3 linked regions of the Lonchura striata genome follow. The protein of the gene in region 2 purifies or fractionates together with the protein of the main gene of each other region. This does not show direct contact. Links are inferred from orthologs where the notes say so. Each region holds a gene or a part of one and is shown on either strand. Other genes may lie near its edges.

What was found.
Region 1: the proteins of PDS5A (region 2) and SMC1A purify together in Homo sapiens (co-immunoprecipitation; 8 studies listed by BioGRID and IntAct, with this or other methods). This does not show direct contact. The link is inferred for Lonchura striata from reciprocal best matches to the Homo sapiens genes PDS5A and SMC1A.
Region 3: the proteins of PDS5A (region 2) and WAPL purify together in Homo sapiens (affinity purification with mass spectrometry; 6 studies listed by BioGRID and IntAct, with this or other methods). This does not show direct contact. The link is inferred for Lonchura striata from reciprocal best matches to the Homo sapiens genes PDS5A and WAPL.

The regions. Positions count from the first base shown.
Region 1 is NC_134638.1:1,686,698-1,690,444, forward strand, and holds the start of SMC1A (structural maintenance of chromosomes protein 1A), read left to right. Parts: upstream 1-1,529; 5' UTR 1,530-1,640; coding exon 1,641-1,749; intron 1,750-2,768; coding exon 2,769-2,957; intron 2,958-3,747. UniProt on the Homo sapiens protein: Involved in chromosome cohesion during cell cycle and in DNA repair. Central component of cohesin complex. The cohesin complex is required for the cohesion of sister chromatids after DNA replication.
Region 2 is NC_134606.1:23,095,917-23,099,663, reverse strand, and holds the start of PDS5A (sister chromatid cohesion protein PDS5 homolog A), read left to right. Parts: upstream 1-1,462; 5' UTR 1,463-1,585; coding exon 1,586-1,612; intron 1,613-2,401; coding exon 2,402-2,572; intron 2,573-3,747. UniProt on the Homo sapiens protein: Probable regulator of sister chromatid cohesion in mitosis which may stabilize cohesin complex association with chromatin. May couple sister chromatid cohesion during mitosis to DNA replication.
Region 3 is NC_134609.1:5,932,876-5,936,622, reverse strand, and holds the start of WAPL (wings apart-like protein homolog), read left to right. Parts: upstream 1-789; 5' UTR 790-1,074; coding exon 1,075-1,175; intron 1,176-3,555; coding exon 3,556-3,747. UniProt on the Homo sapiens protein: Regulator of sister chromatid cohesion in mitosis which negatively regulates cohesin association with chromatin. Involved in both sister chromatid cohesion during interphase and sister-chromatid resolution during early stages of mitosis.

The sequences.
Region 1 (3,747 bases), on a different chromosome or scaffold from region 2:
GGGGGGTAAAAAGAGCCCCTGAGGGGAAAATGGGGCCCTTGAGAGGAAAATGGAGGGAAATGGAGCCTGTGAGGGGAAAACTGGGGAAATGGTGTTTGTGAGGGGAAAACAGGGAGAAATTGAGGTCTTGAGGGAAAAATGTGGGGAAAATGGAGCCCTTGAGGAGAAAATGGAGGGAAATGTAATTCATGAGGGGAAAAAGGGGGCAAATGGAACCCGTGAGGAGAAAATTGTGGGGAAATGGAGCTCCTGAGGAGAAAGTGGGAGAAATGGAGCCCGCCTGGGATGCTGGATCAGGTGTCCAGGTGGGAATACAAGAGGAATATTTGGATAACAATGAATTATTATCCAGAACGCTCTTTATTTGTCCAGCACTAATAAGCTGTTGCTAACAACGTTTGTATTTCATTTGATCGCAGGTTATCTCCATTTTGCGGCTAATTGGCTTTACACTTATCAATTTCTTGTTAGCATCATACTTACCTAAAGTTATCCACCTGGGGAGAATTTTCTTTTTTTCTCTGTTCATCACTAAGTACTTGGTTCACCGTAAAATACCCATTAATTGTAAACCAAAACGTTATTTATATCAGGATATATAGAGATGAAAGTTGTATTTAGGTTATATAGATATAAAAAGCTATGATTTAGGTTATATAGGTATTGGATTACACAAATATGTAAAAAATTATACAGATATATGAAATTATATAGATATGCACCTGCATTATATAGAGATAAATAGTTATATAGATTGCATAGATGCATAGATATGCTGTGTAAATATATAACTTTATCTTTTATTTCTCTGTATGCGTATAGATACAGAAAACTATATTACATAAGCAACGCATATCGGTACAACATATATTGATATATATTGTGTCAATGCCAATATAATTTATGTTATATTTATTTTAAATTGTAGAGATAGGCCAGGTTATACTAGCATCTTATAAAGCAAAGTATATGAATGTCTTTTAATTTTATCGAAGGTTAAATAGGCATTAATGAATAATAATATTGTGGAAAATGTATCTATTGAAACAGCATGTGATCATCTTTAAGTTATTGTTTACTATTCCACGTTAATTTATAATCTTGGTGCCATAGAACCATTCTAACGGGGAAAAACCTCGAGGAATAAATCTTGTCTCGAGGCTTTTTGTCCCAAGATCACCAAGCAACGCGATTTTTACCCAAAATCCCCCAATTTGCTTTGCTCCCACGGCGTCCCCCCGTTCCCATGGCGAAGGGGCGGCCCATTCCACCCTTCCCTCCCTCCACACTTGGTACATTCCATGCAAATGAGCCCGCTCGCGCCGCCACCCCTGCGTTCAAAATGACAACCAATAGGAAGCGAGAAGGCGGGGTTACGGTAATGATTGACAGCTCTCAGAGCCTATCGCGAGGCGCGGCGCCCCAAAGCCGCCAAGGAAAACCACCGGCCTATCAGCGGCGAGGAGGCGGGATTTCAGCGATGATTGACAGCGCCCGGAGCCAATCGGGAGGCGCGGCGCCCCGTCCCTCAGCGGCCGCCGCAGCCGCCGCTTTCCCGCCCTGCGCCCCGAGACCCCCCCGGGACCCCCAAAACCTTCCCGGGACCCCCGAAACCTTCCCGGGACCCTCCCGGGACCACCATGGGCTTCCTGAAGCTCATCGAGATCGAGAACTTCAAGTCCTACAAGGGCCGCCAGATCATCGGGCCCTTCCGCCGCTTCACCGCCATCATCGGCCCCAATGGCTCCGGTGAGTGCCGGGGGGGTTCAAGGAGCCGCTCCCGTGATGGTCTCTGAGGGGGGACACCGAGTTCTTTTACAGCGCCCCGCTTCCTGGGCTCCGTCCTAAATATTGGGGTCCTCCCCCATTTCGTGGGGGTCTCTTCTAAGCTTTATTGGGGTCCCCAATAATTCTCCACAGCATTCCCTCAGCGCCCCCCACTCGCCTCCCTCCTCTTCCCCTGGGGTCTCCCCCATTCTTGGGGTCCCTCCTCTTCCCCTGGGGTCTCCCCCATTCCTGGGGATCCCTCCTCTTCCCCTGGGGTCCCCCCCCGCCATTCCATGGGGTTCTTCTAAGCCTTATTGGGGTCCCCCCCATTCCATGGGGTCCCTCTTGAACTTTGGGGTCCCCCCATTCCCTGGGGTCCCCCCAATAATTCCTGGGTTCTCCCCATTCCCTGAACTCCCCCCTCTTTCCCTGGACTCCCCCCATCATTTCCCTCAATTCCTCCCATTCTTTGGGGTCCCCCCTCAATTCCCCAAACTCCCTCAATTCCTCCCATTCCCTGGGGTCCCCCCTCAATTCCCGGGGCTCCTTCCAACCCCCCATTCCCTGGGGTCCCCCCAATAATTCCTGGGTTCCCCCATTCCCTGAACTCTCCCCTCTTTCCCTGGACTCCCCCCTCAATTCCCTCAGTTCCTCCCATTCTTTGGGGTCCCCCCTCAATTCCCGGGGCTCCTTCCAACCCCCCATTCCCTGGGGTCCCCCCATTCCCTGGGGTCCCCCCAATAATTCCTGGGTTCCCCCATTCCCTGAACTCCCCCCTCTTTCCCTGGACTCCCCCCTCAATTCTCTCAGTTCCCCCCATTCCCTGGACTCCCCCCCTCAATTCCCTCAGTTCCTCCCATTCTTTGGGGTCCCCCCTCAATTCCCGGGGTTCCTTCCAACCCCTCATTCCCTGAGATCCCCCCATTCCTTGTGGTCCCCCCAACAACCCCGTGGGTCTCCCCCACCCCCTAAACCCCCCGTGTCCCCCCCAAACCCGGCAGGCAAATCCAACCTGATGGACGCCATCAGCTTCGTGCTGGGGGAGAAGACGAGCAACCTGCGGGTGAAGACGCTGCGGGACCTGATCCACGGCGCGCCCGTGGGCAAGCCGGCGGCCAGCCGCGCCTTCGTCAGCATGGTCTACTCCGAGGAGGGCGCCGAGGACCGCACCTTCGCCCGCGTCATCGTCGGTGAGCCTGCCGGGGGGTTTGGGGGGGGTCCTGGGGGTCTTTGGGGTGGGTTTGGGGGGCATTTATGGGAGTTTGGGGGGGGGTTGGGAGGGTTTATGGGAGGTTTGGGGGGCATTTATGGGAGTTTGGGGTGGGTTTGGGGGGGTTTATGGGATGTTTGGGGGGGATTTATGGGGGTCTAGGGCACATTTATGGGGGTTTGGGGTGGGTTTGGGGGGATTTATGGAGGTTTGGGGTGGGTTTGGGGGGTTTATGGTGGTTTGGGGGGTATTTATGGGGGTCTGGGAGGGATTTATGGGAGTTTGGGGGGATTTATGGGGGTCTGGGGGGTTTATGGTGGTTTGGGGGGCATTTATGGGAGGTTTGGGGGGGATTTATGGGAGTTTGGGGGGATTTATGGGGGTCTGGGGCACATTTATGGGGGTTTGGGGTGGGTTTGGGGGAATTTATGGGGGTCTGTGGTGGGTTTGGGGGGAGTTATGGGAGTTTTGGGGTGGGTTTGGGGGGATTTATGGGAGGTTTGGGGGGCATTTATGGGGGTCTGGGGGGGATTTATGGGAGTTTGGGGGGATTTATGGGGGTCTGGGGGGTTTATGGGGGTTTGGGGGGTTTATGGGGGTCTGGGGGGGATTTATGGGGGTCTGGGGTGGGTTTGGGGGGATTTATGGGACGTTTGAGGTGGGTCTGGGGGGGATGTATGGGGGTCTGGGGGGGATTTATGGAGGTTTGGGGTGGGTTTGGGGGGTTTATGGGGGTTTGGGGGGCATTTATGGAGGTTTGGGGGGGATTT
Region 2 (3,747 bases):
CCTTCTAAATTTCAAAATCAGTGTCTGAGATTCTCCAAGTGTTCATTGCAACTCTCAGTCACTTTCACTATAATCCTTTTAAGCTGGTTTCATAGAGGCTGTGGACACTCAAGGCTTTAACTCCCCTAGGACAACAATGCAGGGAAACGAGGACCACAAGTGTAGGATAGCAATTTCCTACCCACATGCTATTACACCTGAAGCTCCAAAAAGCTTTTCAGTCTTTGTACGTTTTCCACCCGCACCTTGTAAAGCTGGAATTTGGCATACTTCACCATAATCTTACTTACCCCTATCCCATCCCCTCACCCTCCTGCACCTTTCCTTTGCCACTGCCAGGCCATGCTAGCTACCACCCTGCTGTGCGTAGAGAGGCTCCTGTCATACCTGTGCAATCCCCATGGAGAGAAACATCCCTCCATGGAGACTAGTCCTGACCTCCCACCTTCAACTTGCTCTAAAGAAAATTCATTAGAGATTTGCAAAATTAAGAAAAATAATACTTTTAGCTGGTTTGAATAACAAAAATAAACAGCTGAAGACCTGAAATTAGTCTTGATCAGTTAAGAGTCATCTTTCAGCTGTCACACATCTTCTCTGAGCAGCATGGGCATCTAGAAAATATTTCATAGCCACCTACACTTCAAACACGACACGGTACATACTGCAGATTCAAAACAAACAGATCTATCCCACTTTGTTATTGCCTTTCCAGACATACCCCATCCCTTCGAAATACGAATATTAAATTAGAAAGACATTTTGCACGGAAGGATTTCCTGAGCTGGCTGGCGAGGGCTCCTTTGGTCTGCATAGTCAAGTTTCTCCTTAAGATTTACAACCAAAGGATGGATACTCCTCTTTCCCCTCATCTGCCTGAAGAAGGACTGCTCACTCTCGCCGGCCACAGCACTCTGCCCCCCACACTGTTTCCGCACACTCTTCTCTATCATGCTGACCAGGCCCCAGACGCCTGAGGGACCGGCCCGCGCAGCCACGAGCGGCCTGGGCTCCGTAAGGAAGCAGCAAAGTAACTCGCTTCCCGCGCTGCAGCCGCGAACCCGCGGGCTCGCTCGCTGACACTGCCGGCAGCCGGGCATCGCCGCTCGGCGCCAGCCGGGCATCGCCGCCCCGGGGGGATTTAGGAGCCAAGCTGAGGCAGCGCCGCTCCAGCCCTCCGTGCGCACGGCTCCGCGCGGTGCCAGACTTACTGGGCGGCCTCGCCCTCTGCCCGGGGCGGGGGCTGCGGGCTCCCGGCGGGGCGTCGCCGCCGGCCGCGGGCGGGCAGGGGAAGGGGAAGGGGAAGGGGCGGGGGCGACGCGCAGGCTCCGCCCGGGCTGCGCTTCCCTGGGCGGGCGGAGAGCGGCGCTGGGTGCCCGCGGCGCACGCTCCGCCCGAGCCTCCCCCTCTCTCCGGCCGCCGCCGCTGCCGCTGCTGCCGCCACCGAGCCGCTCCCCCTCCCCCAGCCAGCGCTCCCGAGCAGGAGCTGCCGCGCCGCGGAGCAGGAGGCGGCGGGAGTGCCCAGGGCAGCGGCCGGCGGGGTGGCGGCGGAGCGGCGAGCACCACCCGGCACGGAGGCTGCTCAATGCTGCACCTTCCGGAGCTGCATGAGGTAAAGGCGGCTCCGGGTCCCGCTTCCCCCCGTGCTCGCTCCCCGCTCCCCACGGCCGCGGGGGTGTGTGCGCGGAGCTGGGGCTGCGGGGGGCTCTTTGTGGGCCCGGCCGAATGCGGGGCGGCGGGGCGGGTGGGGGGGGTGCGGGGCGAGAGCTGAGGGGACATGAAGTTGCGGGAACAAATGGAAAGTGGCGAGTGGCCGGGCCGCCTCTCCGGGGGAGCTCCTGGAGGCGCGGGAGGGCGGGCGGGGGGCTCTGAGGGAATGGGGGGTTCGCGGGGGGGTTTTGTTTGCGCTCTCCGCCGCCTCCCTCCCTTCCTCCCTCCCTCCCCCTCTCCTGTTGGCTTCTCTGCCTCCCGATAGTTTTGAGGCCTAACTGTTTAGGCCTCGTCTCCCGGCTCCGAGCCGGTGTGCCGGCTCTGAGCCATCTCCTGGGGCCGGGAACGGCGTCCCCGGCCCACCCCCCGGGCCGTAAGGGGCCCTCGGCCGCGGGGTATCCCTCGATTTGGCCCCAAATTTCATTGTAAAACCGTCGGCTGCGAACTAACAGTGTCGGGCTGGAGCAGCCTGGCAATGAAAGGAGGCGCCGGAGGGGAGCGAAGAGGCCCGAGTCGCGGGGAGCGGCGGCGGGCCGGGCCTCGCTCCCGCCGGGATGCGGCGGGGTCAGCGCTGGGGGGCGCGGCCGGCGGGGCGATAGCCGGGGCCTTCAGCGAATTGAGGGTGAGGAATGGAAAAAGAGGGTTAGAAAGTCGTTTCCATTCTGCTGAACTTTTGTTTTCTGACCGATAGAGGCCGGTAGAGGACTGTGGAGAAGGAAAGTTTATAACCAGCAGCGCCAGGATGGACTTCCCTGCTACCCAACCAAAACCCGCTGCCGACGGTAAAATCATCTACTATCCTCCTGGAGTGAAGGAGATTACGGACAAAATTACCAACGATGAGGTGGTTAAACGGTTAAAGGTGAGCAATTCTGACTACCACTCCCCTCCCTGCAACTTTTACTTGTTAAGGTAAACATTTTATCGCTGGAATGGAGAACTGCCAGAGTTTTGTTGTCCTTCCTGCCTGCAGACCTTTAAGGGAATATGACTTCATTGTTTTTCCTTAAGAGTGGAGGACCCATTTTTCCCATATTTTGTAATTCATTACTGTTCTCTTGTGCGTTCTCTCAATGCTGGATTTGATACATTAACTGCTAATTTGTACACGAAACATATCCACAGTCTAGAGAGGAGATTCGAAGTGGAATCATAAGTAATAATTACAGGATATGCTAGCAAAACTTTTTTGCAAGCCAGGTGGTTTTTTGGGTTCTGGCATTTGAAGAAAGTATAGTTGAGCAGAGGAAACAAGTAGGTCTACATAAGGGTATTTATGATTGAAAAGATCACACTGTTTGCAAAAAACAAAGCTTAATTTGTGGACTTTATGGATGGAATTTTGAAATAGTTTCAAATGTAAAACCTGTTTCAAGATTTTTTAACTTAGTGTGATACATACTGTTTTTTTCCTATTTAGTGTAATTGACAAAATTGCTAAATTTTCTTGAGCAAAACGGATTGCTAGAAAAGCATCTTCTCTGCTTGTTTGACAGCATCCTGGAGGAGTGCAAGTCTTGCCTCTTTTTTACTTTACTAATTCCTTCTTCCACTGCAAAAAAAATTAAATGCTACTGTGATACAGTAGGATTATTTCTTAAGTCCATGCTGAAAATAGAGAATTAAGTTGAGCATTGATCAAATATTGACACAGCTCATTTGTTAACACCATGGTCTTTGGACCAAAGGTTTTTGTAACCTAGGATTTGGTCCTATGCCCAGGATGGAGTAATAATTTCTAGAGATTGGAAATATTCTATCATCTGATGATCTGTTTCCCATGACAGTAAAGACTGAAAAATAGAAATCATGGTCTGGACAGGTCAGTTAGTACATTAAAAATTTTTCTTAGGTATAAATGTGAGGAGAACATAGGCTTTGTGCTTTGTTTTTTAAGCAGTTAGGCTTAAAAAGTGTTTTTTTTTTTTTTTTTTTTTTTTTTTTTTTTTTTTTAATGAGCCTTGTTGTCCATTTATAGTTTTGAAAATTGTTGAATGGACAAGTTTGGCCTAGTATTTTCAAAACTGCAGTGGAGTG
Region 3 (3,747 bases), on a different chromosome or scaffold from region 2:
CACCCCGTTCGGTCCCGGCTCGGGCCGCCCCGCCGCGGGGACCCGCCCGCCGGCTCCGGGGGCCGGGCCCGGGCCCCGCGGGGCCCGCGCCGCGCCACAAACTACAACTCCCGCCGGGCACCGCGCGGATGGGCGCATGCGCGGAGGCGGCGCGGGCGGCCGAGCGAGGCGCGCGGCGATTGGCCGCGGTGGCGGGGGGCGGGGCGCGCGCGGTGACGGCAGGAAGGAGCGGGGGCAAATGGCGGAGAGATGGTCCCGGGGCCCGTCCCGAGCGCGGCGATAATCCCGGCGCGGAGGAAGCGGCGCCGGAGGAGGCGGCGCCGGGGGCCCTGACGCCCGCGACACCCCGGGAGGGTCCCGCTGCCGGAGGGGCGGAGGCGTCCCGCGGGCTGAGCGCCTTTCGCAGGCGGCGCTTCGGCGGCCCGAACCCGCGGCCGGAGCCACATCGGCCGGGCCCGCGCCCGGCACCGCCGCCACCGCTGACGCCGAGGTGGGTGCGGGGTGAGGGGGCGGCGGGGGCCGAGCGGGCCGCGCACCCCGCGGGCTGCAGCCGCCGCCGGGCCCCCGGCGCTGTCCCGCCTGCAGGGGCGTGCGGGGCCGCCGCCCCCGGCCCGGCGCGAAGTTGCGGGGCGGGAATTGGCTCGGGCCGGCGCGGGGGGGTGCGGCTCCGCGGGCCGCGGCTGCCCCGGGCACTTGTGTAATGTGGGCCGGTGGGGCGGCGGGGCGGGCGAGGCGGCCGCGCGGGACGGGAAATGACATCAGGGAGCGGCGGGGTGACCCGGTTCCGCTCGCACCCCCGCCCCCCCGCCGCAAGGGGAGGGAGGAAAAAAGAAACTGTCACCGTGGGATTTCATCAGCTCCTTCTGCCTCCCTGCATTTAACCTATTTTTCTTTCCTTTGATTATGTAAGAGGAGCGGTGTAGAGAGGAGCGATGAGTAGGGGTGGCCGATGGGCTTCCTGGGGAATTACCGGGTTTTTTGTCCCCAGCTGGTCCGCCGAGTTAGCGCTGGGAAAGGAGAGAAAACTGTGGTTTTTGGGTTTTACGTGTCTTTACGTTGCTTGTATTGCTCCAAATGGTGCAGCACAATGCAGGCGAGGGAGGCAGGGAGCGGAAACAGAGTGAGATTACACCAAGTGTTTTATTTCCGTCTGAGAGAAAAATCAAGAGAAAATTGTGAGTAAAGAGAAAAATCCTGTTCTGTTGATGCTCTCGTGTAAGAAAGCACCTCTTTATGCTCTTAAATCTAAGATATAAGAGTATAGCATAGAGTATTTATATTTTCCTAATACTTTTAAACTGTGCACATTATATTGAGTATTAATTCGGGTTTTGGTGTTTTGATTTAAAACTTATGAGATGAACATAATTTTAAAATTTATAAATAAGAAAATGGAGTTTACTTTCTGAAAATTAACTCCTCTTGACTACAGGAATCTTCCCTTTGGAACTGCAAGCCCCAAGCTATACTTTAAATTTGTCATTAGTTTGCATAGGTTGGGAACATAGTATAAAAAATACTTGTCTGAGTACTTCTTATAGTGCTTATTATAACTAATACTTACTTGAGTCTTGAGGGTGTAGGGAAGGAAAATATGCTGGTGGTCAGTGAAATGGTTTTTTCTTTCCTGTAAGTTGTTAGAAACTGAGATATTAGTAAATATTTTACTTCAGCTTCTACAGTTCAAAAACCTGGCTATTCTGGTGTAAAATATTTTGGTTGCTGTTACAAATATTTACAAGCATCAGCAAAATAAAACTGGTAATTTAGATTTTGTTTGCTGTTTGCTTTCTAAACTATGTGTAGATAGAAAACACAAAATTGGAGCTCCATGCAGAGGAGAAAGAAAAGGAGTTTGGCAGTGATATGTGTGTGGAAAAGAGGAGGTGGGATTCAAGAGCCCTGTCTCCTAGGAACAGCCAGGAGCCCTCTGAAGAGTGGCTTTTGCAGCAGAGTTCTGCTCAGCAGATGAGCACCTGCCTTTACCCTCCCTCAGCTGCACCACGGGGGAAAAGAGCCTTTCCCAAAGTGGGTATTCCTGTAGCTCTTCTGCATTGCATCACCATCCACCTGGTAAACTTCTGAAGTTCAAATGTGATCATTTTAATGCACTTTAAATTTTCTCCATGGGTTTTCTCCCCGTGAATTGCTTGGTTCCAATGGTAAGTGAAGGTTGGTCTGGTCTAATAGAGGGAGACTATTATAGTGAGACAGTATTGCTAGAATGAAGTGATAGAGGGACATTTCTGGAAGGCAGTCTGGCAATTTTGGCAGAAGCAAGACTGCCACTTCAGGTTGAGAAGCTGTGAGTGCTGAGATGAAAACTAAAATAGGAATGATGGTATGTCACATATTCGGGGAGTAATAATAAAAACAGTTGTATTGAACAAATAGATCATTATAAGTCCAATAAAATTATTTTAACTGCCATTTTTCATATACTTTATATGAAGTTAGTTAACATTTCAAAAGTTAGATTTCTTTGATTCTGTACCTTAAATAACTGTCTTTTTTAGCAGACTTTTTTCTGGTATGGAGAGGTATTTCAGAGAGAAGGATGGAATTGATTAGATTCAGGCTGACTATAAAGAATTGCAATTTCCTATCCATGTTTGGGCCAAAAAGAGAGAAATAGTGGTTCACAAAACAGATATGAGAGTTTGGGGTTTGTGTTGTCATTTGTCCAGCAGTTAGTGTTTGTTTTTGGGTAAAAATCTTTGAGTTAAACAAAATTAGAAAAAGAGCACATACAAGGAACTCTTAAATGTGTTCCTGTTTAATGTGTTACTTTTACACTTCTGTTCCTCTGAGCAGGCTGTGGAGCAGTTGTGCTTGTAAGAGCCAGTGAGCAGTACTGGTTTACATGGGCCTGCTGAAGGTGTCCTCCATGTTCTTAGAGGTGGATTGAGCAGTGTCTCTGTTCTGTCCCTTGACGAATCAGATTTACCTGTGGGGGATTGTTGTGCACCAGTCCTGACCACATAATGTTACCAAGTAAAACAACTGTTACGTGAGTCTGAGTGTGAGAGATGAATGTGGGATGGAGTGGTCATCATTGTGATTAATTAGTACTTAAAATACATCTACAGCAATGTGAAATATTCTCTCAGTTTTTGTATTTAACTGGCAAGAGATTTTTTTTATGCCATGCTATGCTGTTGGACTCTAGGAGGGAGCTGTGTGTTCAGATGTGGTGAAAATACTGCTGAGTTGTTTCATGATATTTTATGATAATGCCTTCTATACTTGAAAATATAAAATTAGAGAAAAGCAATACCATTCTTAGAAGATTTTCTTAACGACTCATTGTGCCATTGGTTTATAAATGTGCAAGCAACTGAATTTCTTTTTATTTTAGTGGGTGCTTAGTGCAGAACCTTTTGCCATAGTGACAGTCACATGTCAATGAGTGCATCTAGAAAGAAACACGTGATGGAGCTGTTGGTTGTGTGCAGTGTACATGCCTGGTGCTTGTATGCCCAATAAAGGGTGGAAGTAACAATAATTTGTACTAGAAAAGTGATGAATTGATGTTTCTTCTTTCTTTCACAACAGAGAATATGAAACAGGAGCCAAAATGACATCCCGATTTGGAAAGACCTACAGCCGGAAAGGGGGAAATGGCAGTTCCAAGTTTGATGAAGTGTTTTCCAACAAACGGACCACCCTTAGTACAAAATGGGGAGAAACCACCTTCATGGCCAAATTAGGACAGAAGAGGCCCGGTGTCAAACCAGATATTTCTGA